Alligator mississippiensis: one gene and its partners. The protein of the gene in region 3 purifies or fractionates together with the protein of the main gene of each other region. This does not show direct contact. Links are inferred from orthologs where the notes say so. Each region holds a gene or a part of one and is shown on either strand. Other genes may lie near its edges.

The links. The genes of interacting proteins can lie anywhere in the genome.
Region 1: the proteins of RBPJ (region 3) and FBXO42 purify together in Homo sapiens (affinity purification with mass spectrometry; 3 studies listed by BioGRID and IntAct, counting the BioPlex papers as one, with this or other methods). This does not show direct contact. The link is inferred for Alligator mississippiensis from reciprocal best matches to the Homo sapiens genes RBPJ and FBXO42.
Region 2: the proteins of RBPJ (region 3) and MAML1 purify together in Homo sapiens (co-immunoprecipitation; 12 studies listed by BioGRID and IntAct, counting the BioPlex papers as one, with this or other methods). This does not show direct contact. The link is inferred for Alligator mississippiensis from reciprocal best matches to the Homo sapiens genes RBPJ and MAML1.

What each region holds. Positions count from the first base shown.
Region 1 is NC_081836.1:3,382,480-3,393,064, forward strand, and holds the start of FBXO42 (F-box only protein 42), read right to left. Parts: upstream 4,358-10,585; 5' UTR 4,264-4,357; intron 1-4,263. Other genes in the region: SZRD1 (SUZ domain-containing protein 1), read left to right, coding at 10,490-10,585. UniProt on the Homo sapiens protein: Substrate-recognition component of some SCF (SKP1-CUL1-F-box protein)-type E3 ubiquitin ligase complex. Specifically recognizes p53/TP53, promoting its ubiquitination and degradation.
Region 2 is NC_081832.1:74,541,672-74,552,041, reverse strand, and holds the start of MAML1 (mastermind-like protein 1), read right to left. Parts: upstream 4,358-10,370; 5' UTR 4,219-4,357; coding exon 3,874-4,218; intron 3,768-3,873; exon of another isoform or gene 3,753-3,767; coding exon of another isoform or gene 3,714-3,752; intron 3,496-3,713; exon of another isoform or gene 3,047-3,495; intron 1-3,046. Other genes in the region: CANX (calnexin), read right to left, coding at 10,335-10,370. UniProt on the Homo sapiens protein: Acts as a transcriptional coactivator for NOTCH proteins. Has been shown to amplify NOTCH-induced transcription of HES1. Enhances phosphorylation and proteolytic turnover of the NOTCH intracellular domain in the nucleus through interaction with CDK8.
Region 3 is NC_081825.1:39,901,736-39,912,182, reverse strand, and holds the start of RBPJ (recombining binding protein suppressor of hairless), read right to left. Parts: upstream 3,957-10,447; 5' UTR 3,879-3,956; coding exon of another isoform or gene 3,859-3,878; intron 1-3,858. UniProt on the Homo sapiens protein: Transcriptional regulator that plays a central role in Notch signaling, a signaling pathway involved in cell-cell communication that regulates a broad spectrum of cell-fate determinations.

The DNA.
Region 1 (10,585 bases), on a different chromosome or scaffold from region 3:
TTAGATTCAGTGAGATCAGAGGCAGGAAGGAGTGCAGTTCCGAAACAACAACAAAAGCAAACAAACACCCAACACCAAAAAAATCCAACATGACGGTCTTATCAGCAAGGAAAGAAAAACTGAATTTGAGTAACATTAGGAATGGACTTGCCCACTTCACAAGATGAAATAAATCAGATTAATATTGTAAAATGAGTCCAAGGCATGCAAAGTGATATAAGCCATCTGCAGAAGAAATCACATTTGGACGAAGGAAGTGAGCCAGGAGAATAAGTCATGTTTTTATTTTAATTTACATATATTTCAGTAGAGTATTTAGCTACCATACAGGTGAGCAGATGTACCCAAGTTTTCCAGAATATTAAGAAAGAAGGCATACCACAAAGCATGACCAAGTGTGAATGAATTTAAGCTCCAAGATATACATTTGCAAGTGCCATCAGTGTATGCTTCTGTGGGCAGGGGCCAGATTTTCTCCACCTTGCAGAACAGTCAGTTTACTGTCCCTGGTATATCACTAAATTTTTTCCCACACCCACATACAACTTTTGCACACATAAAATTAAATATGCAAGGAAGAGGAATGAATTTTCTCTCTCTCTCTCTGATATACCATACAACTCCATTTAAAGTCAATATAGTACAGCTAAACCCAAACAGACATCACTGGAGGTCCTGAACCCAGATATCCAAGTTGAATCTAATCACACTGGAGAGAGAAATCACACTCCGAAAACAAATTTGTGTGTGCACAATCATCCATTAAGTGTACATTATCAGAGCCAGTGGGTTTCTGTTCCAAAAACCCTTTTATCTGGACTTGGACCAACTCTCAGAGCCAAAAGACAGCATTAGACCACAACTTTTTTTTAAAAAAACACTCACTGATCTCCGGTATGATATTGATATACTTTTTGGCTTTTAAAATGCAAAGTCACTGGTGCTTATCAACATCAAGGAACTGCTTGAACAAGACACTGATTTATATCTTAGGACATTTTTCTTGAAGCAAACACGAGGGGAGGGGGTGACTAACTTCACACCGGTTTGTTTACACGCACAGTGATAACCTTTTAAACAGTTCTCAGTCACACGCTGTGGAAAGCCCGCAAAAATTGGCAACTACTGAAAAAGATTACAGTGCAAGTTTACTGAGGCTGTGAAAACACCCATTTAAAACACAATTCATATGCTGGGAACGAGCTGATATGAGGCCTTTTCTCCCCCCTGCTGAAAGGGGACCTCAACCATGCAAATGACAATTCACATCCCTCTTTCCATTAAACATATGGAAAGAAATTATAAACTTAAATACAAAGCCAGACTGTTTTCAGAGACTAGTGCAAAGACTGCCAAATGAACCCTCCTCTTGGTAACAGAGAGGAATACGAGGCAGGGAGTAACAGGGAGGCTCCCCTGACAATACAAGGGGGTGAGAAGCAAAGTGCCCTCCCTGCAGAAGCCAGGACAGAGAGAGGATACTGTCACGTATTCAAAGCATGCAAAATCCACATGAAACCTGGTCTGTGTCAAGCGGAAAATCCGACTGGGCACAGATAAGGATCTACACCAGCAGATTCTGCAGAACCTAAGTTGCAGCTTTAAAATCAATTTTCTAGCTCCTAAGGTTGCCACGATAAGCTTTCATACACTCCCTACTGACAAAACACAGTCCTTTCGACTCATGCTTTGGCAACTTTTGTGTGTCCACCCATTTCCCCACTGTACCAAACAGTCAAGTGAAACAGATATTCAGACACGTCTCTGGTACTTTAGATCACTGTTTCTTGCAAAAAGTTGGGGGGGGGGGGTGTCTCGCAAGACTGTGCACTAGTGTTATTTTTGAGGGAGAATCAATGACGAAGACAGAAAGACAGCAATAGAAGAGAGGCCAGGGAAAAGACAGAACAGTGAAGAATGCCTCTGGCCACAGCCAGGGCCTGGGGTGGTGTAGTGACCCCCAAAGAAATGAGCCCCGAGGAAGAGGAAACAACACATTCTTTCCCATCACATGTCTCCCCTCAGTGCGTTGCTACGCTGGCAAGTGCTACTGCTGCAATTTCAGCTTATACTGGCAAAGCTGTGCTTTTCCCTGTACAGTTTATTCCAGCCCCACTTGCTCACACCCCTAAAATGAAACGTGCTATATTGGCAAGGTGGTTGTTCTGTGGGGGTGACTTCATCACAATAAGGGGCTTTTGCAAGCAAAGCTGCATCAGTCAAGGATCACACCTCACCACACCTCTGACCAACACAGCCAGGTAGGCAGAAATCCAGCATGTAGACAAGGCTCTATTATGTGCTAGCGAATGGCAAAGGATGGAGCTCCAGGGACAAAACCCTACTAAGAACCCCAATATCTGCCCTTGTCTGATGCAGGGATTTGGGGTAAGTCCAGAACTAGTGTTGCATTGCCCCTGAATCACAACAGTGAGTCTCCCCTACTAATTCAGCCAACATCAGGCTAGCCAGTTTGACGCTCCGACTAGGAGACATTAGGTAAAGCTTTCTCCAGCCTGATTACATCACTGCACTGTGATATTGCAGCAGCCATCTAGATGTGATCTCACAATGCACAGGGCACTGCATCATCACATGTCATCTCTCCAGGATCCCGATGCCGTTCAGTGACAGGGCAGCTCTTAAAAGATAAGCAATGCTCCTCTTAGATTTAGGATGCAGGTCAGCAGCATCTCCAGTGAAGTAACACACAGCTCCTTTATCAGAGCTGCCTGTTCCTTCTGCCCTAGCAAACAGCAGTTCATTGGTGAAAGCTCTACTACATAATGGCCGAGGCGTAAACAGGTGTCACTACAATAATTAAAATCATTTTAATGCAAATAACATCCCCATCAATCAATGGGGATTAAGCCAGCCTCGCAGCAGGAGTCTGATCATTGGGTTTGCTCACAAACAGAAAGCAGCTGCAGGTAATGCACCAGTACCATGCAGTCCAGCCACAAAATTTTAACAAGGCTTCCCATGACTTTTCCCCAACTCCTCCAAAACTGCAAATTACGGAGTTTAAGGCACGCAGCGGCGCACAGCTCCCCCCTCAGCCTCAGAAGCATTTTAAGAAAACAGCAACACCGAATCTTCAAGGATTGCTAATGAAGGCGTTTAGCCCAAAACACCTCGGTCTCGAGAGACTCGGGTGGCAGGCTGCTTACAAGGGGATCCTCACAAATCAGACCCCGGCGCTTTTTCCTGCCCAGAGCTGGGGGATCGAATAGGTCCCTTCCGACCCTAGAAACCTACGACCCACGCACTAAGACCACCCCGCGGCAGCAATGCTTTTCGGTTTAATGTGGACACTGCCAAAAAAACCAAAGCAAACCCATCAACTAGCCAGGAAAACATCAGAGGAGGCAGCCGGCACCAAGCCATGCCTATTAAACCCTCTCTTTCCAAAAAGAAGCCCATCGGGGGGTCAGATAGCCAGGAAAGTGGCAGAGGAGGTAGGCGGCATCAAGCCAGACCTCCCAAAACCTCTCATTTAAAACACAAAACAACAAAACGAACCCCATCGGAGGGTCAGACAGCCAGGAACATGCCCGAATTGTGCGTGTCAAGCCATACCTCCCCCAAAACCCCCCTTTCCAAAAAGGGGAATAGGACAGAGGAAGCAGACGGCATCCGAAATCACGGCAGGGGCGATGTTATCTTTCACGAGACCAAATGCCAGAGGCGGCAGAGCCCCTCTCCTCGCAAAGAGAGACCCGGCGGGCACGTCGGACGAGCACGAAAACGGAAGAGGAGGCCGGGGGAGCCTTTTTTTCCCCAAAAAAAGCCGGCTCGGCAGCACGTCCGGCAGCCAAGGAGACGGCAGGTGGGGACCGGAGTCTCCCCTTGGCAGAGAGGAGCCCGCCGGTGCCCCGGGGAAGACGGGGACGCACCTGGGGGTGGCAGCCAGCCTCCCAAAGCCTCTCCTTGCCCCCAAAAGCAGCCCACCCGCCAGCCAGGGGCATGGCAGAGGGGGCAGATGAAGGGTTGCTTTTTTTTTTTACCTCTCCTGGAAAAAAAGACAAGAAACCGGAGCGGGGAAGATGAGGAGAAGGCAGGCGGTGCTGAGCCAGGCCCCAAACCACCCCTCAGCCAGGCTGGGGGGGAGGTGGGTGGCATCCAGCCAGGCCTCCCCTTGCAGGCAGGGGCCCCGGGGACACAGGCCAGGAGGCAGCTAGCCGTGCCCCCACCCCGGGGCCCTACTCCCGGCCCGGTTCCCCAGGAGACGGAGCCGGGCCTGCCCCCCGCGCCGGGACTCACCTCCCCGCCCCGCGCTCAGCGCAGGCTGCCCCGGGCCGCCGCCATCTTGCCTCGGCGGCTCCGGCCGGAAGGAGGCGACGCACTGCGCAGGCGCCTGCCGGGGCTGGTCACATGACGCGGGGCGGGCGGAGTCACGTGAGGCCGAGTGCCATGTTGGGGAGGGCCGAGTTAGGCGGCCATGTTGAGAAGGTCCGTTGAGGCTAGAGAGGGCCTTCTGCCGCCACAATGGGCCATGTTGGGAAGGTCAGCTACGGCGAGCGAGTGGGGAGGGGCCGTTCTGGAGGGAAGGAGATGGAGGCCACCTGCCTCACCTTTGCAGAGGCTTGGCCTGGCCTGGCCTGGGGATGGATAGGAGCCCTGCCCGAGTCCCCTCCCTTCGAAACAAGGGAGCATCTCCACAGGACAGCGTTGATCCCCACCCTCTGCTAGGGGGCAAGCCAGTCTGTGTGTCCTCAGGGATTTCCCCCCTCAGAAACCCTCTGGATTTCTCCAGCCTGCAGGAAGCTGAGCCTTGGGAAGAGCCATCGCTTCTTTGGGAAGAAACCAACCCGGGACCCCCTCAGCCAGAGCCGGCCTTGGACTCTGAAGCCTGGACCCCTCCACGTCCTACTCGTGCGCTGATGTTGCACTGCTGCTCTGGAGTACGTGGAGCGCTTTCCGTATCTCGGTGATGAAGAAGTCCAGCACCGTGCCAGTGCCACCTTCTTCAACCTGCGACAATGTGTCTTTGGAAAGAGAGTCCTTCGGAAGTCGACGAAGGTCCTGGCGCACGCTTCGAAGCCCAATGACTCGATACTGAGGCGGAACGGCGGTGGCGGAGGAAGGAGAAGGAGACCACCCTGGGGCTGCGGATCCCGCTCCCACACGCAACAACATGCCCCCGTCGCCGAAGTATATGTGCATCCAGAATCGGTCCCCTCAGTCACCTGAGGACCCATCAAGCCTGACGGATGTCATCCTTGACTTCAAGGGACTGCCAACGAACGAACGCTTTTGGGCGATCTGACCCCAGCTGACTGCCTGCCCCTTTGGACAGGGGGCTGCACCCACCTATCTCATAAGGTCCCTTCCAGCCCTAACATCTATGTAGATGTGCCCTAACTTAGGCAAGGGGGGCCTCCCCTGGGCAGTTGCCTGGGTTGTTTGCCCCGGACCTGCTGATGCCAACCCAAATGGCTGTAGAGCTAGCAGCTAATCACCAGGGGAAAGCAGATTTGAATGGAAACATGGGTGTAACCTTCACTCCAGCCACCACTGCAATCCCGCCCAGATAGGAAGGAAGGGAAGATGTAGCGTGAGTCTTCTCCAGTGCTGTTTCTAATGTGAACATATTACTGGGGGGGCGGTGTTCATGTTTCCTTTGCTCCTCCTTTCTGTATTTAATCCTTATAATATGTTACTGGTAACATGATTGGTGTGTCTTATTTGTGGTGAGAAATGTTACGAAGTTTTCTTAACCTTCAGTTCACAACTCGTGTGAATTTCTGGTCCTTTAAAATGAGGAGGGTGGTTCGGTGCAGTCTGAACAGATCTTATCTGGGATGAACACAAGACTATCTGTATCCTGGACAAATCCTGTTTACTCCAAACTCTTCTGCAGGCTGGGAGAGTGGAAAATCCCCCAAACAGGAGAACGTAAGTGCTCATGCTGTTTTGAGTCTTGAGTCAAGCCAGAGGGTGGCAATGATGCCTCTCCTCCGAGATTGCTCAGGACATCAGTGTCCACACCAAGGCAGATCCCTGATCTGTCTGGAACCACCTCCATTTCCCATGGGTGCTGGCGCTTGGAGAACCCAGGTCGTCTGGTGCCCTACGTCACCAAGGCACACATCTGCAGACACAAGAGCCAGGATTTGCCTAAGGATATAAATACATCCCCCCCACCAAGCATGTATGAGTCTTAGGGTTGTTGGTTGTATGAGTTTTAGGGTAATGTTTTCCAAAATGCTTGAGTGACTTTGTTGCCAATGTTCCATTTTCAGAAGCATCTTGGTCAACGTGACATAGGTGTGTGAGTGCCTAAGTCACCTGGAAAATGGGACCTAGGTTCCCAGGTCACTTAGGTGGCTTTTGAGGTTTCCCTTAGTCATTAGAAGAGGTCCTGTGCCTGAAATATTTGGATAGTGAAGCTGCCCTCCTTCATCCTGGTTTAAGGGATCTGGGTGGAGGCAAAGGCAAAGTGAGGGGATCAAGACCCACATAGAATAGCATTGGTGGAAGCCCTTCGTGTCCTTAATCTGAGTTTCAGGGAGAAAATGCTGTGGGCTTAAGGCCTGTTTACGGTCCAGGCCACGCATTCTTTTCCTTCTCTAGAACAACAGTGGAAATGGGTAGAAGCAGCCTCAGGTTGCACCTGGAGCTGAGCTCCCTATGAATGAATGCTGTACCCTTTTCCTCTCCACCCTGCCAAGCTGCCTGGCGAGGTCAGTGTGGGCAATGGGCCCAGAACCAAATAGAGGAGGTCAGGTCACCCTGCCCTCTTCCCCTGCCTTCTGTCTTAGATGCCATAGTATCTGGCTGCCTCTTCCCTCCAATATCTGTGTGTACAGCTGAAGGCATTCACAGCTATTTTGAACCCTGCTGAGATTTGCAGGAAGCTCCTCTTTGATGGATGGCATCACTGGATCCTGATGAAAAGAGATGCAGGTAGCTTTGCTCCGCAGTCTCCTTCCCCTCCCGGTAGCTAGATGGCTTCATTGGTCCCTCATCCCAGAGGAGCACAAGAATAGCACCGAGAGTACTAGGCATGTCTGAGAGCCCAGAGGACGGGGACCAGAGCAGACCTAGTAGCGCAGCAGCAGGTATCAGCAAGGGAGTTGATTGGAGATGCATTTTGTGGAGACGGCTGAGCATTCAGCTGCTTCTTAAAGGTGGAGTTTGTAGAGACCTGCCATCTGCTGGCAAATCATACTAATCGCATTCAGCATCCTCTGATGGTGGGGAAATAAGGGCTTTGAAGTGGAGGGAGGAGACTGTTTTTATGCTGCCTGGTTACGTTCCCATTGCTGTCTGAATGTTTGCTTTCTCACACTGCTAGGAGAAATGGATTTCTGGACACTTTTAAACTCTTAAGCAAATGAATACATCCAGTTAAAATGAATCCAAAGAGTTGATCTGAAGTCGCAAGTCATAGTCACAAATACAGGTGATATAGCATGTGGGTTTTCCTTTTGAGAAGCCATGAGTGACATTCATCAATACCGTAAGTTGGCTGATTAAAAGGTCAAGACAATTTTAGCCTCATCGTACCTGAATTGCAAGCCCTCGCTGGAAAGTCTTGTCTGATAAGAGCAACATCAAATAGAGACCTAGGAGGGCCTTTGAGTTATGTTATGCCCCCTAGGCAGGCAGCACAGAAGCTATACCAGGTTTTGGAGCTTAAAGGGCCTGATCCTGTGAGGAACCGAGTAATCGAGTCCATGTGCACTTCACTGGGACTAGAAGACATTTAACATTGTGCAAAATCAGACCCCCCACTCCCTGCCCTCTACCCAGGGCTGTGTTCCCAGCACTGGTCTACAAATGTGATTGCTAGCCCTCTCTGGTTGTGTTCATTTAAACTCTTCCAAGAGACTGTTCAAAATCTTACAACCACCTTAGCATTGTCAGAGGGAAGTAGAGTAAATATAAGCTCCCTTGGCTTTATCTGTCTGGAAAACAGAAGCAGTAAGGGCTTGTAGCGTTTAACACTTCTCATGATCCTCTATAGCTGGTAGCCCAAGGCTAAAGAGTGCAGTCTAAAGCCCATTTAAGTCAATAGGTGTATCTCAGCTGATACCAGTGGAATCTGAATCAGGCCCTTCAGAAAGAAAGCAGTGTGCCTGGGGGATATTGATTGGGTTGATATCATCTTTGGTTAATGATTTTCTAGGCTCGGGGTGAGGAGCTGTTGCTGACTCAATCTTTGTGGTACGATTATTTTATTGATGGCAAAGGACAGAGATGCTAGGACAGGTTTTTGATGCCGTCAAGCTAGACAAATAACCAAAAAGGATTATCAGTAACAAAAATCATGTGTAGTAAAAAATTAAGCTTGTGGCAAAAGCCTGAATCCTGGATTCTTCCCACATCATTAAGTATTGTTTTGTGGGGATCACTCACCCCAAAATGTACCCACAAGGCAAGGCAGCATCCTGCTGCATCTGCTAAAAGGATGTCATGCACAGCTGTCTGCCGCTGCATGAATGTGGCCATGCTGGTTCTAGATCAAGAGGGTGCCAAAAGCTACCTCCTGAATAGGGAGTAGTGTAGCCACACGGTAAAGCACCCGGGCTAGTTGGATCCAGGAGTGGTGCAGACTGCTTCAGTTCTGTCAACCAGCCAAAACTATCCTTCCATTGATGGAGTAGCACTGCTGACCACTGCATACTCCCTGGATGTAGGACCTTATCCTGCCCTAGCACTGCAGTGCTTTTGTCCTAGAGCGCAAAGCAAGCAAATTAGGAAAGCAGACTGAAATTGGGCCTAGACACTGGTTTCACTTCAGCCCATACAGACTGGTCTTAACTGTGGCAGCCCCTAGTAGTCAGTGTGACTTGCCTGAAAGAGAAACAGCACCTCTTTTGGAATAGGCTGGGGCAGGCATTTGGTCATGGCAAGCTCACTGAACAGCACCTGCCATCTACCGAACTGCCAGCCCCATTATGCCAGGCTTGCGTGCTCCGCAGGTGTCCCTGATCTGAGTACTGACCTAGCCCAGTTCTGCACAGGTTATAAGAAATGATGGAGGCTGACAGCACAAAATGCATAACTACAAGCAAGCCAAATGCTTCCAATTCCCTAGCGTAAGTGACACCTATGAGGGACAGTCAGGCAAACACAATGTTTACAATAAGTTGCTATGCTCTCAAGAAAGCGGCTTCTGCCGAAAGCATGATTCAGTGAAGAGCAATTTATTGGCTGAGGTGAGTATCCAGGGAGTTTGGGAGAAGAGCTATTTATACAGACTTTACAATGCACTCTGAGTCAGTCTGTGTTGTTTCTCCTTCATTCTTATAGTGAGCAGGATCTCTAGTCTGGATTTCAAGGCTCTGGTGCTACTGTTCATTGTCAATGACATGGATTTGTAGCCCTTGCATCACTTAGAGCTTAAGCTTGAAAAAGAAAGGAAGGAGCTTATAATACAGAGAAAATTACAGCATAGGTCTGCTGCCTGTTGAAATATGGGTGGTTTTGTGTGCCTCTCTTAAATTGAGCTTCCCCTGTGTCCAGCCGGACAGGCGGCATCTGCACAGGATGGCAGCACTCCGTCCCCGCCTGCCTGTACCCCCTAGGGCCTTCTCAGGTACCCCCGGAGGTACACCTGTTGACAACCCCTGGCCTAGAATATAAACACATTGGCCCTACATGAAGCTTCAGCTGCTCCAAAGGCCCTTCTCAGCATTTTCATGCGTATTCCTGGGGTTTGGGTGCCTAGACCTGACCTGGCAATGTGTGTCCTTACAGATTCTCGTTGGCTGTAACCAGAGCAGCAACATGTGCGTCTCCAGCTGAAACCCCTCATGGAAATGCATGTGTTTGCAATAGATCCTGAGCGTCCGTAGCTGACACCGGCTACTTGCAACCAGCCTGCCGACTGACCTCGAGAGCCTTTCCAGCCTTACCTCTCTACGATGTGTGATCTAGGAAAAAAATACTAGAAAAAAACTTTCTCAGGAGGAGGATGGCGAGGCAGTAGAACAGGCTGCCCAGAGAGGTGGTGCAGTCTCCATCCTTGGAGGTTTTAAAGATCCAGGTAGACAAAGCTTTGGCTGGGATGATCTATTTTGGGCTGGTCCTGCCTTGAGCAAGGGGCTGGATTAGATGTGACCTCCTGAGGTCCCTTCCCACCTGAATTTTCTGTGATTCTAGGATCTGACATACGTGTTCCTGAAGGTTTTAAAGACCCAGGCAGACAAAGCCCTGGCTGGGATGATGTAGCTGGGGCTGGTCCTACTTTGAGCAGGGAGCTGGAGTAGATGTGACCTCCTGACATCCCTTCCACCCTGAATTTTCTGTATTTCTAGGACCTAACCCGCGTGTTCCTGGGGCCTGCCCGGGCAAAACACGTGTGCTCATTCACACAGCTCCCTCAGGGTCCGCCCCTGAAGCCATCACGCATGCGCACTGCGGGCAGCCATCCAGCCCGGCGCAGCCCTGCCCACGTGCTCCGAGCGGAAGGAAGCCGCCGGGAGCTTCCCCCAGTGCGCAGGCGCTGGGCGGCGCGTGCGATTGGCTGGCGGCGCGCATGCGCCCTGATAGAGTGCGCATGCGCGGGCGGCGGGCTGGCGGCGGCCGAGGAGCCTTAAAATGGAAGATGAGGAGGTCGCCGAGAGCTGGGAGG
Region 2 (10,370 bases), on a different chromosome or scaffold from region 3:
AAATCTGTGTTCACCTCTTGGCAGGAAACAAATGTTAGAACCACCTTTTTAAGATGAATATTCTCATGAGTAGCAGTACTATTCTAGTAGTACCTAGAAGCGCCTGCTGAGGCCACAGCTCCATTGTGCTAAGAACCACTGACTCGCCCAGGGCTAAACTGCCCAAGAAGATCTTTCTGAGCTGGAAGAGAGATGCAAGTGTCAGAGGGTACAAACACTCAAGAAAAATCACTTTTTGAACAGATAACACCCTATTTCCTACTCTGAGTGCTAAAATACAAACAGCTTTCATAATATTCACCCTGCAAGGGCAGCATCTTGTTACTAAATGCATTTTCACATTTGAAGCTCTGTGCACAGCTGTCTGAATTAAATGCACTCATCTATTTTCAATTGGATGTTTACTTTAATTCCAGGAAACTTCTGTTCAGTAGTTGGGAGGCAACAAGTTGTAGAGTGAAAAAGGGCTCCAGATCTGTGTATCTATAAATATCACTGCTGGCACTGGTCAGGAGAGACTGCTTCTGCTGAATCAAAAAAGTGTGCTTCTTAAGCAGTAATGCTGGCTCCTCCACCTCAGCTGAACTACATAGCAGCACTGATGATCACTCCCAGTTCTTTCGAATTTAGGAAACACCACTACAGGTCTTACCAATCCAATAAAGGGAAAGGCTTCAAGAATGCAGAAATACCTTGGACCAAAAAAGGAGACAAAAAGGAAACCCATCTGAGTTGTTGGGCAACAAGCTAATGTTCAACAAAAATGAACAAGGATGGCAAGACTACATTGCACTGTTACAGTAGACTTACTACAAAAAAAATCTTCATATAGTTATTGTCTTTCATGTCAGGAAATAGATACCTGGAGATCAGAAATGTGGATTGGCTTCCGCAGCTAACAGAAAAAAGGTTTTAGGTAAGTCAAACTGACATGCTACCAGGTAAAGCTTTGTTTCTTGAATAATAAATCTTGCTAATCCAATCCTGAAAGGTGTCATTTGCTTTCTGTCGTTGTTCTAGATCTTAAAGTCAGGACACATACATTTTTGCATTGTTTTGAAATTATATACATTATAAACGCACATAAATACAAAACCCTGTAAATTTCACTCTCAGCTGTGCCAGAAAAATACCAATAGTGAAAGAAAAATGCTATGGGATAGTCTACCCTAGAAAACAGAAGAAAACCCTGCTACTTGGGTATTTAAACAAAGCACTGGAAAAAGTAAAAACAGGAGCCCTGGACCAGCAGTTGGAACAGGAGGAAGAGGTGTGTTTTAAGCCTTTCTTTTTCTACTTGCTATTTCTCTAAGCATCTTTCTGACCCTGGTGACAATCTCCTCTCTTTAACTTCCTTCATAAAGTGGGAAAGAGTTAAGTCTGGAATTAAAATATGAACAATCAATTTAAAGGAAACTTTTAAATTTTTAAAAATAGTTGCAAGTTAAGGAAAAGGGGAAATAGCGATTCAACTGTTTTCTTCCAAATACAGGAAAAGTGGCACACACCATCCAGAAGTATATTTCTTTTGTAACTATATATTCCTCCTGATCTGTGCACTAGCTCTCCTTAGCTGGCAAGCAGACAATGGATGAAGGTGACCCATGCTCATATTTGTGCTCCACGTCTGCTGCAATTTCAGGATCTAGAGCAGATAAATGACTAATAGATAAAGCACTTGACTCTGACTTTTGTCCTTTGAGGGAATCAATAATAATAATTAAAAAACCCCACATAATAAGACACAAAAAGAGGAGGTACTTTCTGTAAGGTGTTTCCATGGAGCTTGTACCAATGAAGCTCTGCATAAACTCAGCATAAACAGTGCTGGCTGTTTTATTGCTCTATTAATTGCTCCAACAGCACTATTTTAAAGTACACACGCTCTGAGTATTTTAAAACAAAATGTTATGAACCAAAAGATTTAGTGAGTGTTCCATAAAATAAATTGCCATGGGATGTGCTGTCTTGATAATTGTAATTTAACTGTTTGTGGTGAAATACAAAGCTCACTATTAAAGTATATTCTAAAGAACTTAAAAACACCCAAAAAACTGAATCCTCGTAACACATCAGAGCAGACAAGGTCCTTTGGGTACCTTACATATTCCTTATTTTAAGTTGTTTGCCATGCGACTTAACTTTTACAACCAAGTAACAAGATGATGAATCAGCAGCAATTCAACTTACAGTCATGTATCCTAGGAAGGAAACAACAGGCCTGCACGCGGAAGAGTCATTCATACACTAAAACCCTCCTCTGTTGTGTAAATTGGCTGCTAGCAGCAGCTTCCTGTACAAGAAGGGTTTCCCCAGATGTGCAGCGAACTTCAAAACCACACAATGATTGTGGGGGAAATTTAGAGTCCTCATTATAATGCAAGCTAATGAGATCAAATCCACATCCACAACAACTGAAAAGAAGTGCCAGCAATGAATTAGAAGCAACTTCTTTCAGAGACTTTTCAGCACACACTTCCCTATAAAGTCTAAGCCAGTGGATTCAAATGTGTTTAAAAACAGGTACTCCATCTGTTACCTAATGAACTCAATGAGCCACACGAGAATCCTTTATAGCCTAGTCGCAAGCAAGCATAAGCCTTATCATTTCTCGAACAGTACAAAAGAAGTGCAGGTCTTGTGTGTTCAGCCAAAAATCTGTATTTCAGGCCTGTATATTCAGCCTAACTGAAGCTAACCTGAAAAACTTGAGAGGGGAACAATACAAGCTGTACCTTCCCCTCTCTTCAAGGAGTTTCCCTTTTGACACCGAACTAGATTTCATATCATCACAAGCGTTTTATCCTTCAGAAGCAACATGCATACAACCACCCAAAGCTTTTTATTGGAGGTAAGTTCAAATACCTACAAAGAAAAACAATGCACTGCTGTTCACATTGCAACCTCAAAGCATGCATAAAACACTTATTGGTTGCAAGTGGAAACTTCAGATTTGGTGGCATTTCACATCCCTTTTACATCGGTATAAATTATTAAACAAACTATAAAAATGAGAATCATGCCTTTCTTTTTTTCTTTGCTCCAGATCCACACGTCCAGAGCAGGCGCTGCGCTCCCCTTCGCAACTTCACTATAGGCTGCATAAAAGGTCTAAGGGTTATTTTAAGCGCTGAGCATCATATCGATATTTCAATCGTATTAGACTCTACTTGCAAAGAATTCACCTGCGAACCAAAAGGCCACTTCAAAAAAAAACAAACCCGACCGTGACTACCGCGCTGAGGTATGACGCCAATCGAGGCAGGACCAAGAGGATATGGTTTCAAGATGCCTGCAACTTAAACAGGTACAAACGTATGTCGCATTCCTTACTCAAACCTGACTGCCGCCAGGAAGCCAGCAAGTGCACTTTTACTGACGACCCCATCGTGAGAGCGGCGTTTCACAGAAATACGTTCCCTTGCTTCCCGAAAGCTTGCGATTAATTTTTTTTTTCTTTTTTTGGACAAAGAGCTAATAAACCGATTCCTTGCAGCCGCGAGGTAAAACCTGGGCGCCTGCTTCATGCCCTCATGGTGCTGATCCTCCTCCTCCTCCCAGCAACCGAGGAGCCGGACCCCAAGTCGCCCGAAGAAAGGGAGTTCAGCCCGTCTGCGGAGCCGCCCGCACGCCCGGCTCGCGAGCGGGGTGGCGGGCAGCCCTTCCCGGCCAGGCTGACAAGGCTCCCGGGACAAAGGGCGAGGCGGCGGTACCTGGCGAGGCGGCGGCAGCCCTCCCCGCGCTCCGTCCATGGGTGCCCGGGGAAGCGGAGCGGCTGCCAGCTGGGCACGGCACGGCACGGCCTGGCCTGGCCTGGCCTGCCCTCGCTCTCCTCCTCCCCTGCGGCCCGGCCCCGCCCCGCCCCGCGCGTACCGCGATCAAGGTGGTGCTGCGGCCGTGCTGCTGCTCGCCGCTGGCCGCGTCGCTGTCCAGGCCGTTGGCGCCGGGCCGCTCGGCGGCCGGGGGAGGCGGCGGTGGCGGCGGCGGCGGCTGGCGGTGCTTGCCGGCGCGCTTGGCCTTGGCTTGCAGGCAGCGCTGGTGCAGGGCGAAGGTCTGCTGGCGCTCCAGCTCCAGGCGCTCGGGGGACACGGCCTGGTAGCGCGACTCGCAGGCGCTGTGGTGCCGCCGGCACAGCTCGATGCGCCGGCGCAGCCGCTCCATCACGGCGCTGTGCCGCGGCACCACGAACTCCGCCATGGGGCAGGGGGGCAGCACCATGGGCCGCGCGCCCGCCGGCTCCTCACCCCGAGCCCGCCATGGCCGGGCCGCCGCGCCGCCTCCTCCCCCGCCGGCCTCAGGCGCGGGCCCCCCAGCGCCCCATTGTTGTCCGCGCCGCCGCCATCTTGAAATTGTTTTTCCCCTCAAGAGCCGAGTTCAGGCGGTGGGGGCGGGGCTTCCTGGGTGGGGGGGAGGTGCGCGTCACAGCGACGGATGGGCAGCGGGCGGAGCCAATGAGAGGGCGACGGAGCGGAAAAAGGGGCGTCGCTTCCGCCAGGAGGGTCGCCGGAGACCGTTTAAAAGGCATAGTGGAGGAAGGGGCGGGGCGGAGCGCGAGCGGCCAATGCGGAGGCCGGCGTGGCGAGGTGAGGGGTGATTGACAGCTAGGGTGCACGGGGAGAGGGGAGCAGAAGTGGAGCCTGGCTGTAAATGAAGTCTGTAACGAGTGCGAGCCGCGTCCCTGGGGAGGAAAATAATAAGAAACCCTAACACAAAGGAAAGCAAAGCATTCCTTACAGTTAAAGGTTAGGGTTGACTTTTATTAGAGCAAAATTTAGCAAGCAAACAAACATACATTTTAATTGCAAGGATCAAGGCTTCCCCCTCCCCCCAGAAAAGAACACGAGCCTTGTTCCTTGTAATTAAAATTTGGGGGGGGTTGTTTTTTTTGCAAAATCTTGCTCTAATAAAAGCAAAGCCATGATCCTTGCAATTAAAGATTTTGGGGGTTTATTTGCAGAGTGTTGGTCTAATAAAAGATGATCTCTTTACTAGGGGTCCTGAAAGCATTCATCCTCCTTTTCCAGTCAGGGAAAGATTGAAGCAATCCACCCCCCTGCCCCAGGCCCAGGCAAGGGGAGTACTGAACTAAAGCTTGTTTTTAGCTTTAAACTGGGAAGCTGCTCATTTTACAGAGGCAAGAAAGAAGAACTGCATCTTCCTTCAAGGGCTAGGCCTACACCTCCTGGATGAGCCAGGAGTGACTGTGACATGGGAGAACGCAGGCCCTGGGAGAGATCTAGACTCAAGCGCTTCCTGCATCGAGTCATTGCGCTCACACCCATTTTAACGCAACGCCCAGGAGGCACGAGAGCAGTTGGCAGGTTCGTGCATCCTTTGCTGTGCCCTAGTGGTAGCTTTTTATATGGGTATTTACCGTCAAGCGTTCTTGGCACAGGTCACAAGTACTTCAGTCGAGCAGTTTTGGAATAGTCGTCAGGTCTGCTAAGAAAAAGTGACTTTGTACCATTCTTTGGGAAAGTATAAATGGGAAAGTTACCTGGCTTTGAAAAGGAGCCATGGTACAGACTAAAGTACAAGCAAACTCCACAGATTCCCTCTTTTAGAGCCTGTTTTGTGCAAAGTGGCAGGAGTAGCAGCCAACAGAGCTAAAAAAAAAAAAAAAGCTGAGTCAGGAATGCTTAAATAAACTGAGCTGCATATCAAGTATGCATTAAGCACCCAGTTACCAGAACTTTTATACTGATTTAGGGTTCATACTGCAATTTTTAATTTTGTTTTAAGAGCCACCAAAAAGGAGGACAAAAATTCCAGTCGTTTGATCAACTCCCACCACCACAGCTGCTGCTCACCCATCTGTTAAGAAGGGTGTGACCAGCCAGCAGCTCTTGCTGACTCAGCTCACAGGGAAGTAAAATGTTGGGTTCCAAGTACAGCAGCAATGACTATTCTTAGACCTCTCCGACCCCTTCGGGACAGACCGCCCAAAGACTGTGCATCAGCACAGTTGAGCAAGTGAGAAAAAAAAAGTCCAGTTATAAAATATGAAACACTATAAAGTGGCCAAGTTTCTGTAACTTTTCATTAGTTCAAACCCATTTAAGTCATTGTCAACCTGACAGCAGAACTAAAAGAATGGTATGGAAGTCTGAGCTACAATAGGGCATATTGCAAACCCACCCGAAGGGAAAAATCAGGACTAAGTCCAAGTCTCTCACCACCTGCTCTCTTCACCCAGCTCTTCCTCAGAACATTCCTAGATTAAAGCAGTTTGTCAAATACAACATTGCTGCATTCATATTAACCAAGGGCCCTGCTATACCTTCAAAATAAAAGCTGGATAGAAACCAGCTAGAGAGTTGTTACATTTTTCAAGCACTAAACTTTATAGCTAGTCATTTTATCATGCGATAATTACTTTATACCTGCAGCTAGTTTAAATTAGTTGCAAAATTGACCAGTTAATTGCATAATACATGTAAATGTGCAACAGGGACCTAAGTTTACCACCAAATCATGAGCAAGAGCTACCATGTAGGTTAGAACCATGTAAGTGGAGACAGTAGAACAACCTTACTCTCCAGATCAAGGGTTTCATATCCAGTCCATACCCCACTACAAATTAGCATAAGTGAGACTGCAGAGTGGCTATGAAAGCCAGCGTTCATCTACTTGGGGAGCTGAGCCACAAGTCAACACCTGGAAGGGGCCTACCACCAATACTTGATCTCTCTAAAAACCCTATTTTTAAAAATAACTTTCCCTTGACTTCCTCTGCTCTTTGGTGTTGGCATCAGCTAATTTTAAAAATACACACTGAAAGGACTTTAGGTTTCTCTCCTCTTAAAGGAAAAAGTATTAGTCTTTGTAGCTCAAAGTGTCAATTTAACAGATACATTATTTAGCATTCACAGTTTTTTAGCTGTGAAAGCAGCAGACAGATGCCATGGAGTGCTCATACTTTAAAATTAAGTGAAACATGAAGGTTTGTGAACTTTTACCTTAAATCAAGCGTTACTTTTGTGGTAGGTGAGGGCACAAAAAAAATCTACTTAAAGTTTAACAAAAAGTTTTTTCTCCTTAATTGCTGCCTTCTTCTAGAAACCCCTCTTAAAAAAAGAAAAGAAAGAAGCCACAGACTGAACCTACAGTGCATTCCACTTGAGTGCTACCACTTTCACCACCTTCATGCTGAGAGGTAAAAGACAAAAAAGCTTTTAGATGTTTTAGTAGCCAGGTAGACAAAGCAAATCTGAATAGATTTAAGTTTCTTTATTAATCAGAGTAAACTTACATTATAATTTATCCAATATTTATATATGCATACTGCATCTACAATTAACTTTTTTAAATGAATAGACAAGGTCTTTTCTGTGAGAAGTCACAGTTCTTTTTTAGTAACACTTGAGGATTTTGCTTCTGAAAACCATCGAGGCAATACTGGCATTTAGAAACAACGTATTAGAGGAAGGCAGAGGGGTGAGGAGAAACTGGTCACTAGCACCAAGTTTGCTGCCACAGATTAAGTGGAGCAATACGTAGAGGAGACAGAATACCTTTACCAGTAGTGAATACTTCCGTAAGAACATCCCCCTCCAACCCAGAAATCCAAAAATTTAGACATTAACAATGCACTTTCTATTTGGTTATCCAGTGAATTAACATAACTAGTCTGAAAGACCAATTTACATATTTCTTACCAGGTTAGTAAGTTTGCTATATTTCTATCACCTCTTTTACTGATCATAATTCTGTAAGAGCTAGTTTACAGCACCCCCATACTTATTCTAGAAGGCAAAAAAAATGCCAAGTAAAAACAGACACCAACATCCACTGTCAATATTTTGCTAACAGAACGCTGTCCAACAGAATTAAGACTGAATTCAGTCTTATATGCAGACCAACTTTTGCTTTACATCATAACCGGACTTGCAGTATTTAGGGAACATGGCTACCCTTACTATATATGGATGTCTTCTTCCTTACTCAAAACTGACAGTTAAACGTGACAACCTGTTAAACTGTAACCTAGAATTAAAACCCAGGACAAAGTCATCTTTCAAACTTAAGTTTTTCTAAATGCATTGTGAAGTCACCATTTATTGTAGTGACTATTCAAGTGTCATATTACAGTATCAAAAGAAAGCCAAGACATGCAGACAAGACTTATTTCAGGAGATCTAGTTGAAGCAAAACATTTTAGAATCAGCTTTAAATGCAGTATTATTTCATAGCTGCTGTTTTAAGCAGCACATGAGAATTGTGTTAAGAGTATTTTGGAATTGTGTGTACAGAAAGTGAAAAAGGTAATGAAGTTAAGGCAATATGCATATAGATCAAATCATTTAGAAAAAAAGAAAGACCCGTGCTGTGCTCAAGAAAGCAGCTAACCTACGGCCATCTATAAAAGCTGGCCAGCCCATTTGGGTAGGAATAGAAAGTCATTAACCAACTTTATAAAAATAAGCTACTATCTTGAGAACAAAACAACAGCAACACTTAAATCATAACATACTCCAGTGCTGAGGTATAAGCAAGCCATTTTGGAGGTAAAAGCAACATATAACCAGGTATTGGGGAGAAATATGGATTCTACAAGCCAATGGTCCCAGACTGGAAATAAAATTTGGATTTCAGCATCTTGGTTACAGTGTTTTATTTGTACATTGCAGACACTTCAAGAAACCCTGACATGCATTCATGTCACTGATATTTCAGCTCAACAGCCACAGAATACAGGCAGCAAAAGCTTTTCTTTTTAAATGCAAGTTATTCTGCATTAATCTTTACTACAAAGATGTTTTCCTCATCATTAATTCTTCTCTACAACACACCCAGTTACCCTCCCACCCAATGGAAACATTGGAGTGTTTATATTCAAAGCAAGGAGAATAGAATAGGAGTTAGGACACTTAACTATTCTAACCAAAAGGCAGAAGCAAAGTCTCAGTAAGACATCTAACCTTCCATCTTCCCAGTATATTTTGGTAAAGAGTAATAAAAAGGTATTGGTCTTAGGAGGTATGCTCTGCTCCCATGTATTCCACAGGAAACAAATAGAAATATATAGTATAATAGACACAACGCGTTTAAAAAATTTATTTAGCTGGAATTGGAACGCCCTACATTCACAATATAATTTAGGATGCAACTGTTACATGAAGAGCAGATAAGAGACTTAAACAGCTACACACACCAGTCATTCCACATGCTCCTTCTTCCATCTACAAAATACTGTAATTCTTGCTTTTAATAAAAGACTTTAGTCCAACCTGCCTTCTGCGGCCACCTTCCTGTCCGCAGGAGTTTACACAGTGACAACAATAACGATTAGGGACACTGTCCTATCCAGCGTTTGGATCCTGGAAAGGAGTGAGCCTAGCTTAAAAAGAAAAAGTTTGAGGAGCTGAGCATGAATTACTGTTCAGCAATGGAAGCCAAGCTGCACAGTAGCAGAGAAAGCTGGGGTGAGAGGCTGGACAGAAGGAAGGAAACGTAGTAAAAAGAACAGCCCTATTGAGAAAGAAACCCCGCAAGGACTAAAGAAACCAGACATCCAGCCTCTGTGAGGCCTGCAGGATAAAGTACCATATTAAGGGACCCACCCTCACCTTCTAGGCCGACTATGAACAGCTAAACAGACAGCAGCCATAGGGAGCATCTTTATTTTGTGGGACAATTATGCTTTTTTCCCCCCCCCCTCAACCCCCCAAAAAGCTGGAGTATAAACACAGTTTGGTTGGTTACATATGTACATAGATTTAACCTCCCTCTCACCACAGTATCTTTATGAGGGTAAGAAAGCTATACAGCCACACTAACCACCTTTGCTCAAAAATGATTATCAAATTTAGGGAAATACAGACATTGGTAAGTTTAAGAATCTCCATATTTGTAAAAAAACAAAACAAAAAAAAAATCAAAAATCCACTAGTTATAAAAATTAATTTTGAATTGCCAAGCGTTTTTTCTAGATTTTTGCTGTTACTTCTCACTGATTAATACATTAAATTAAGCCAAGGTCGAGACCAGTGAAATCCTACCAATCTATTTAAAATGAAACAAAAACATTACTTAAAACCAAAATAAAAAGGTTAGTTTTATATTACATTCCAAAATCCACAGCCCATGATGTTAACTGCATTCTTTCTATAGGAATGATGCTCTTTAGAAAAAAAAACCCAGATGATTGCAAATATTTTACTGCTAGACACTGTTACACTGGATAGTGTTTGACTGGAACCTGTGGATGGTGAAGTCTTGAGGTTTGTCTGAGTTTCAATGTAAGGTGTCCAAGGTCCTCTCCCAGAACCACATTGGGGGGCAGGGGAGGGGGGAAGAAAAAAAAAAGTGAGATCAAGTTCTTATGATTTTTTTCAATCTTTCCTTGGCTTTCTGTTTCTGGGCGATCT
Region 3 (10,447 bases):
TTAAGAATCACCATGCTAATGACTTGGAAGTTAAAGCTGCATGAGCCAAAAGCATTTGCTCATTTGTCTTTGAGTTTAGAAAAACTCATTATGTGCACATGTACAATAATATTCATAGTTATACTATTACTCAAGTAGCAATAACCATAATGTTTAAACTATGCTAATAAGGAAATTACTCCCCAGAGTTCCTCTCCTTCAACAACATCCCTATGTCCTCATTTCTTCTTCCTCCTGTTGAGCACCACAATCCACTCACCAAAGACTATAGCCAAAGTACAGAATTAGTACTCTATACTCATTCTGCTTGACCAGCTAATTATCTTTAAACAGAATCAGTTATATTCCTCTGGAAATCCTGTCCTTCCCACTCCCATCCTTTTTGGCTTATGTGATTCCATCTATTTCAGGTCCTAATCCTCAATCCAATTCTTCAGTCTGTCTTTTCATGGCTTCCTGCCTCTCCTCCAACTTTCTGCCCTTGATCCCACTGTCTTCTCCCTCTACACCTTATTTGTGGGAAATTTAATCTGTATAAACAATTCAACTAAAATATCTAGGCTGAAAACTTAGACCTTGCCCTGCCTACACCTGCCTCCTATCCAAACTCAAACCTCAACCTAGTTTTATGGAAAAGAGCCATCAGCTGAATCTCAACATAGCCAAAGCAGAGCACTTAATCTTCAACCAGAAGCTCCAGCTGTTTCTTCCTTTCTCCACTTGACCACCACCACTAATCAAATCTCAGTTCAGACTTACCTAGATTCTGCTATAGAGACTCCTTTATCTGTCCAGATCCTGATGATTCTTTCTGCCTTCCTTTTTAAAACTTGGCTTTTGTATGCATCACACAGCTAGGCTCTCTTGCATCACAATTATTCCAAAATCCTTTACACTGGTCTTGACAAATGCAAGCCTGCACATATTTATTCTGAAAGCTGAAGCAAAAGTAATTTCCCTGTGCCACTACTTTGTCATCTCTATTTGTATCACATACCAGCTACCTTCCTTATTTCTACTGCATAACAAACACTGGGCATTTTGAGGCCCTTCACAATCTATCTTCACCTTACTATCCTTCATTCACTGTTAAAACACAGAACCTCACCTCCAGTCAGCTGATTATACCAGTCTTCTTTACCCACTTGTTAAAATTTTAAAAAGGTACCTTTGTATTTCTCCCATGCTGCCGCCAACAGCTACACACAAAATTTACAAACCTGATCAGGCTCCCCCAAAACCCTCCTTTTCCTTACTGTCTATAAGCAACAGGCTGCCTATCATTCTGTCCAATGCCATCTCACCAGCTCCCCATATCCCCCTCCCCCCCCATATGACTACATTAATTTTTGGTTTCTTGTCGTATATTTAGACAACATGCTCTTTGGGGCAGGGACCTTCACATAGTTCTGTTTGCACAGTTCTGAGTACAATGGAGTCCTGATCCATAACAAGGTGATTTAAGGGTTCATAATTCCAGAGTTGTTAGGGGCTGGAAGGAACCTTATAGATCACTGGGTCCAGTCCCCCTGCACTTGGGCAGGAAAGACTGCTGGGATCATACATAATAAATCTAAATCTCTCATGGGCCTTATATAAAAGCTGTATACCTATGCATTTTTCAACACAGGTAAGCCTATGATAAAAGAATATTCCATCAGCAAACTGGGTGAAGGTCACAGTGCCAGAAATACAACTTCTATAGCCAGGTATTACTGTTACTAGTCCTTTCAGATTACTGGAACAAGACAATAGGTTTATCAGGCTTATGTACTGCAATTTAGTTTTAACAACTAGTTTTCATGAAAAGATAATATTCCAACATTCACCTCCCAGCAATTACAAAGCATCACTTATACGCTTCATCTAGAAATTTCATGATTGCTAGAAAGTGCATGCAAGCAACAAAAACAGCATGCAACCCTTGGTTACTACATTAACAGATTTATTTTATTTTTAATTCTAAACTGTTTTCTACCCTGTTTTCTAAGATCGTGAGTGAAAATTAACTACACTAGAATGAAGAGAGGTTTTACTACTGTGAAAAATGCCAGTTACTAAAAGAAAACAGGGTATCACATTGCTAATCCAAAACCTAAGTACACTAAAAACACAAAAAAACCCCCAAAACCACTGAATAAAATAAAAACCATACCCGTTAATACATTTTAGCACATCTTTTCAAGGTTCTCTATGTTTTAGGTGATTAACTAATTCAAGATCTGAGGTTAGAATTATGACTCCTCCCTCTCTTTTTACAGGATTTAACCAATTTGAAAATGCTAAACAATAGTTGTATTGTTAGAATTGAAACACAGAGAAACTTCCACCCTTACATTAAAACACAACATATTTTCTATTCCTTTGTTGTTAGTGTGTTTCTCTCATTCGTAAGTTCATTAATTAGTCAAAAATTAAAATGCATCTCCTGGAAAAAACAGATGGGATGTCACGGAGAACATTTCTGTCCCAATCAATAAGCAAAACGAATAAAACTCAAGCACAGAGGCAATTAAGTGACCAGAAACTGGAATAAAATTAACATGCAACCCATGTAAGGCAAACTTTTAGAAACACCATTATGTCTTACTCCCCCAACTCTAGAACTCTAAATAGTGTACTCCACAGATTGCAACACACAAGACTTGCTGTTTTAAAGAAGGTTTAAGCAGCCAAAATAAGCAACAGCAGCAAGTGCCTTTTGAACTCGAATAAAATCAGGCAACAGTTTAACGCTTGCTTTTGACAACCATGAAACAAGAAACTAACAAGTGCTAAGGCCAAAACAAAACAAGAAAATACCATAATGCCGCCACCTCCATAAGAACAAAAGCAACCACCACCAACTCCACCCCACCCCCAAATAGGCTTGGCTCTGTGCTATAACCACAGAGCCAAGCCTAGAGACTACGTAATCCCACGGGGAGAAAAAATCACAGATGCGATGTGAAGGCAGGATATTTAGCCAAACGTGCAAAAAACACCCCCCTCCTCCCCCCCACGCCTAGAATTATTTTCAGCCACCAGGATTTTGTTTCAATCAAGCAGGTGGGGAGGAGGCAAGGCCTACTGCTGCCCTAGCAGCCCCAATCCCCTTAGGGACCAGGCCGGGGGGGGGGGGGGAACTACCCAGCGAGACTAAAGATTAGGAACAGGCTGCAAGCAGGGTTCAGGATAATTTGGGATACCAAGAAGATGCCCACACTCAGCAGTAACACAGCAGGTGACACGGCACGTTGGGGCTCGCGCTCTCTCATTCTCCCTGGCCCGCAGGGGGCATCTGGAAGGACACCGTGCGGGAGAGCCGAGGGGTGCTGCGCGGGCGGGAGCTGCAGCGCGGCCCTGACAGCAGCCGCAGCCGGGCCCCGGGGGTGCAGGGGAAGAGGAACATCTCGCTTCCCGCGCCAGGGAGCAGTGCCCTCCCTGCCGAGCCCCACGCCGCTCGCGTAGCCACGCTGCGGTGCGTGGGGGACTCAACTTCTCCCGGGACATTGCCCGGGAGCCTTTGGGGGGGACTCTGCCGGCAGCCAGAGAGAAGCGCCCTCAGGGCAGCATGGAGCCAGGCACTGTCCCGGCACGGAGCTGCCCCAGCAGCACGGGGCGGGCGCAGGCCGAGCGCTCCCGGGCGAGCGGGCGCGGCCTCGGGCAGGGGGCGCCTCGGCCGGGGCGTCCGCCCGGGGGGTTCTCGGCCCCCGGGGCCGCGGCCCGGGGCGTCCCGCCGGGGAAGCGGCCGAAGGGGCCCAGCCGCCCGGGAGGAGCGGGGCGGAACGGGGAGCGAGGGCGGGGCAGGCGGTGGAGCCCCGGCGGGCACGGGCGGGGGCCTCGGGCGGCGCGGTGCGGCGAAGCCTCCGCACTTACCCTGTCACAACAGGCGCCATCTTCCACAAACTCTCGCCAAAACTCCTAGTCTCGCGAGAGCGCGGCGGCCCTGCCGGAGAGCGCGCGTGCGTGGGCCCATAGAGCGCACACGCGGAGCGCGCACCACCCCCCGCGCGCCGGGCTCTCCCAGTGTCAGTCAGACACAACAGCAGCAGGCGTGGGAACCTGCCCGAGTCTCGCGAGAATGCCGGCGCCGAAGGGAAGAGGAGATGGTGCGTCTCGCGAGAGGAGCGCGAGGGGGATTCCCTGTCGGCGGCGGAGTCTAGGCTCGGAAACTTCCTGCGCCTTGGGGGCGGGAGAAACCATCCCGGGCGGGAGGGGTCTGCGCAGAGCACGGGGGACGCGCCCATTCGCCGGGGGGACGCGCCTCGGAGCACAAAGTGGGCGGCGTGGGGTGGGGCCGGGCCGTAGTTTCCTGTGGTGGGCGCGTGGGGCCGGGTCTCACCCGGCGCCCCACCCGCCAGGCTTGGGGCAGGCGTACCCGCCCGCAGCGCAGAGGGCGAGGGCAACCAGCAGGGAGAACTCAGCTGCCAGCACCTGCAGGCCAAGGGGTTTGCCCTCGAATGGACAGCAACTGCTACGGGCACGTGGCCCCCGGGACCGAGATGAGCGGGTTTCCGGCTGTGGCCGTGGGGGAAGGAGGGGCAGGTGGAAAATGAGGCCGTGATAAAATGGAAGACCGCTGGGCTAAAAAAGAAACCCCCCAAAAAGTGATTTAAAAGTAAAACTGGTCTTAGGACAGCCTCTGTGAAGGCCTCCTCTGGATGCTGCCCCTTCCTGTCGTTTAACGTGATTCAAAAACCCACCGTTCAAGCTGTGTTTTTGCGACCGAGTTTTAAAGTCTGTCAAGCCACTGAGCGGGGATGAAGTCGCAAGCAAAGCCTCAGGACCCAGTTTTCAAGCAAAGTGGAAAAGCAGCTTTAGACATCTGGGCCCTCTGTTGTAGGTGGAGAAAGAAGAATCCTCTTCCTTTTGTTCAGTTTTGTTCATAGTTGAGAAACATTTCAGCTCGTCGTTGCCGAGAGGCTTATTTTCTTTTTCCGATCTATCAGTCAATACTTAGGAAACACAAGAGGTTAAAATCTACTTCCAAAATCTTGACGCACGTGTCGACCCAACATAATTCAGTTCACTAGCTACATAGAATGCTTAGTTTGTTTCATAAGTCAACTTAAAATTTAGTTTAAAATGTCTGGACTCAATGAGGGGGCTGGACTCAATGATCTTCCAAGGTCCCTTCCAGCCCTAATGTCTGTGAATATATGCAACTTTTTTTCTTCTGTGTCTGTCACACTTCAAGTGTATTTATTTAACCAATAAAAACAGTAGTAAAATGCTATTCCTCTGCATTTTATTCCCAATTCCATCCAAATTGCAAGTTGTAAACATTCAGGATTTAAAAAGACCTACACTCTTTATTCCTTGGGTGAATTTGGTATCTTTTATTAGACCAACCCAAATAGTTGGAGAATAGTTATTAAGCAAGCTTTCGGGTTCAAAAACACTTCGTCAGGCTAAGGAAGTTTCAGCAGCTTAATAACTATTCTCCAACTATTTGGGTTGGTATAATAAAAGATATCAAATTCACCCAAGGAACCTTGTCTGCCTATGTCCTTCGACCAACACGGCTACAACCTAAACTCCTACACTCTTTATTGTTTCCTAACCTAAAATAATGAACCAAATGAATATTAGTAGCTACTAAACTATATAATTGCTTATGTGTAAAGATAATAGATCCTTTTGGTTAGCAAAAATACAGACATAATTTAGTGTAAAAGCTATATCAGGACAAAAATCAACAAGAATTAACCTTTCCTCAGGAAATTAAGGAGTACAAATGCAAAGAGGACTGAAATTATCATGTTTTTGATTCAAATCATGATAAAAACCATGATTTGAAACAATCCATCCTGTTACGACTGCTTTTCAACCAAATCTTTTACCTATGATCTATAGATGTGTTTGAAGCTGCAGGCTCTGTTAAGGATGTTAGTGCTTAGTGCAGGGTGGGCAATTATTTCAACTGGAGGGCCACTTAAATGAGTTTTGGTGAGCTGTTGAGGGCCGCACACACAAAATTTGTAGAAGGTATCATTTTAACAAATTGTAGATAAAATCATACACTAAAAAAAAAAAATCAAACATTACTGTAACATTCTATTTTTATTTTAAAAAAAAACAACAATTTTTGTCCTGACTTGGTTTTTTTGAGTAGTGTATATAGAGGTGATTGCATAACTCAAAATAAAGTCTTACTCTAGTATATTGGCAGGGATGGAGGGGGTGTGAGTGGAGGGTGTGGGGTGGGCATATTGTGGGGGAGAGGGGAGGCTGCCTGAGTGCTAGATTCCAGGAGCTGGCCTGGGAAAAGAGGGATGGGACAGGGCAGCATGAAGCAAAGCTTTCCCAGACAGTATGGCCTGCAGCTGCCCCCACAACACTGCATAGGTCCGAGCCCCCGCCCGCTCCCACCCAGGGCAGCCCATACCTGCTAACTGCAGCCCGGGTACCAGCCAGCATGCACAGCTTGCTGGTGAGTGGTGTTTAGCTACCGCCACACCTCCAGCAGCTGCTCCTCTTCCTGCTCATGCAGCGCCACTCTGGACAGGAGGGAAACTGCAACCAGGTGGCTCCAGCTCTTCCCAGATGTCTTCCACTCACTCAGCTGCCTGCAGGTGACTGCTCATCATGCAGGTAGAGGTAGGTAGGCAGGCAGAGTGGGTGGAAGGCAGCCTGGAGCTACAGCTAGGGCAGGAGCCACCTGGGTGCAGCTTCCCACTCACCTGGAGCAGCGCAACAGGGGCAGGAAGATGAAAAGCTACTGGAGCTGGCGGGAGCCAAGCACCACCTGCCGGAAAGCTGCAAGTTCTGGCCAGGCGCAGCAAGAACAGGTGGGAGTCCAGTGGTGGCTGCCCCCTGGCAGGGCTCAGCCCCATGTGGAGTACTGTGGAAGCGGCCGCAGGCTGGATCCAATCTGGGCACCCTCCTGTGGGCCATACTTTGCCCACCCCAGCTTACTGTCGCATACATCCCACATTCAAGATTTTAAAGATTTTTTGGTTTTTTTGATGTACATAGAAATCAATGTCTTTGAACTAGAACATTTTCTCAAATTGTGGACTTAATGAGATGGAGTGTTCAGAAGTCATTGTGTAACAAGATAGATAAATGCCAACAAGTTGAATGTAAGACCTTGCTTCACTCAATTAAATGATCTTAAGAGTTACTTTTTGGACAATCTGGAAAGGTTAGAGGTTGGATGAGAATGCATGAGAAGAGGTATCAGTATCCAAGATCTTAAAATATTTGGATATAGACTATCATTTTGACATTAAGAGAAAGAGAGACAACTTTCCTTTGGGGTTCAGAACAGGTATCTTAGACCTGAAAAAGTAATTCGCATAACAAAATACAAAGTTGACCTTTCGAGTTAAAGGGCGGTTGTCTATTAGATACCTGTGTTTAAAAAGACTAAGATTACGGTGCTTAAAGCTCAGTAGTAGCTCCCATTCAGCTTGTCTTCTTCATCAATCTAGGTTCAAACTCAAATCTAACATTAATTAAAATCCCAATTTGAGAAGGAGATTTTGAGAGTTACTTAATTTTTACTAAATCTGCTGGCTCCCATACTTATAAAAGATTGAATTTTCCATCATGTCCATGACTCAGTTTTTGCTCTGTTTTTATACTTACTCTCCACTGCTAATGCTAACTTAATGCAAGGAAGAAAATCTTGCCAGACAAACTGTAGTGAACTCATGCTTTGGAACTACAGCAAACAACTCAGTTATAATTCAGGAGACTCTTTTCCTATCATGAGTTCCCTCTCCTCATTAATCATAAAAGGATTTTGATTGGTTCCTTTATCGGCACACTCTTCATCTGAAACACAGTGTATACCGCAGATCCTCTGTATTGTTTGTGAAACAACAATTTGTAATCCTTTTGAAAAATTTCTTCTTGAAAACATCTTTTTTTCCCCTCCAAATTGAAGAATGATCTCATCTCATGCTAGTTCCGTCCCATTAAGAATCGTTTCTGGATTCTTGCCATCAACTGTCTCTAGATGGTCATTTTATGGGGCCCCTCTTTTGTGTGTTTTAAATTAAACTGGAAAATGTAAAAATATAGTGCACAATAATATTTAGTGTCTAGACTTCTTTTAATATTTTACAAATAAGACATTTTGATTAATAAAAAAATTAATTGGATCTCAGAGAAGGCACTTTGTTTTCAATAATTAATAAATAGCACAGTAGTTTAAGACTACATAACAGTGCTTTCTATCACTGATTCAGGTGTACTTAACAAAAAGACACTACTGAAACATTTTTAAAATCATAAACCTTATGTAGCAGTACAAAAGGTCAGTCATACTGAAGGTCAGGCTCTTGAACTAAGTCAGGAATACTGTCAAAATCAGAGTTGGTCTAAAATTGGTACTTTCTAGGGGAAAAATTATGGCAAAAGCTCAGACAATTTTTTGTAATTATCACTGTTTATATGTATGACTTCTTTTGCTAAAGGGCCCAACCTCAATAAAGCACAAAATACTCACTTTTTACTGACTTAACTTCAGCACCTCCTTGGATTGAGGTCTAAATTCTGATCGTTGGTAGTGGACAATGCCAGATTTGAGTAATGACGAATTTTAAATACAAGGTTTAGACAATAATTATATGGATTTATTTGTTATGTAAGTCAATGTTTTCAACCTCCTGTGCCAAGTGAGTTAAGGCCCATTACAGCCATGCTGTAACAATGGAAAAGTTCTAAATCTAGCCTACATTTTTAAATCTGTCTAGTGATATTGGGGCATTCTAAAGGGAACTGATTTCTGAAAAATCTTACATTTTATGGATGTCTCCAGTTAGAAATAAATAAATAAATAAGCTAGTTACTTGCAACAATGGAACTCTAAATAAACTTCAATACATGTAATCTAGTTTGCCCACCCCTTTTTGGGCTAAGTACAGACAGTCAAAAAGCCCAAAGCTGAATTGATTCAGTCTTTGCAAGTTAGTCTAAACTGCAAAGATTGAACCAATAAGCAAATGAACGTTCACTTTTGAATCAGAAAATGCAGCCATATGCCTGCAGCAGCTCAACCCAGAAGCTGGAGAGTGCTAGAGCACAGCTCTCTGGTACATAGCCAGCATGGGCTGTGTGTTCACTTCCTTTTCCTGCTGCCCCTTAGGTCTCTGGGATTTGCAGTCCAGACTCAAAGCAGCAGGACTCTGTAGGGTTTCTCATCACTTCTTCTTCCTGCTTCCAAGCACCTCTGGGATTTGTAGTCCACAGCTGCAACCAGCACTAAGTAAACAGGCAAGGCAGCTCCATACTCAGGGGAAGGGAAGTTTAACCCCTCTGACCCCAGACCCCAGCAGGGTTTTTGAGTGCCATATTCTCAAATAGCCTAATACCACCAAGAAAATAAATAATTCATTATATAAATCTCAACACTAGCAGGTTTTATCTTATCACTATATTGTTTTATCATTATGGTAGTTTCCAAAAGTTGTAGTCAGCTTTAGGGCTCATTGTGATACCCAGTATAAGAGTGGGTAGTTCCCACCCACAAAGACAAGATGTAAGATACAAGTATAACAGACAATAGGAAGGAAGAGGGGGAAGGGAAGATGAGGTTAACAGTATTAATATCATGTGGTTGTGTATTTTAATGGTATGCATAGCTAGATAATTCTGAATTATTTAATTAAAAATATATATTTTAATTCCTGTCAATCCCCAAGGCCTTCTAATATATAACATTTTGTCCTTCCTCCCTGCCCACCTGGAAGGAGTAACCTTGATCTCGATTTTATATTAAGTCAGGTTTTTCCCCTCCCCTACATAGCTTATCTAGCTTATCCCATGCCCCTCCTACTGGGTTTTTCTTTTTAAAGAGGTTAGTAATGCTATTTCCATGAATCCCTCTGACAATGGGCCCTTTCTATTCAGGCAAACCTGAAAGTACCTCTCTCAAAATCCTCCAGGGCTCCTGTATGTCCTCTCAGTCTTTCTACCCATCCCATTCACTCTTTTGTGACTGATGCTGTTGCCCATTTAATACCTGAAGGTTTGACAGAGTTCATTAATCAGTTGTGGAATATACACTCTGAAATCTTCAAATACCATAGCTTTGAAGGTGACATTTGGCTTGTCCTACTATTCAGGAAATTCTCTGTCAAACATCTCACAATCCAAGTTCAGAACTGCTGATATCATCAGACTAATGACCCCACCCTGGTGCACTTAAATTTATGTATGAAGCTGCTGCATGCAGTAGTCAATATTGGCTAGTTTTAACACCTGTTCTAGTTTCAAGCCAGCATTAGAGTGATTACAAAGTGAATTACTGAAAAGTGCAGCAACAGAATGTCCTTTAAAATTTACACTGTAAAAGTATCCCCCAGTTTTTTAAACATGTTAGAGAACAATAGAATGTATTATACTGTTTTTATTCTTTTCATTCTCTTTTTTTCTGTGAAATGATAATGACAGCACACGCAGGGCACTGTGGTTTAACGCCGCTCAAATAAATTTAGCACAATGGGCAAAAATG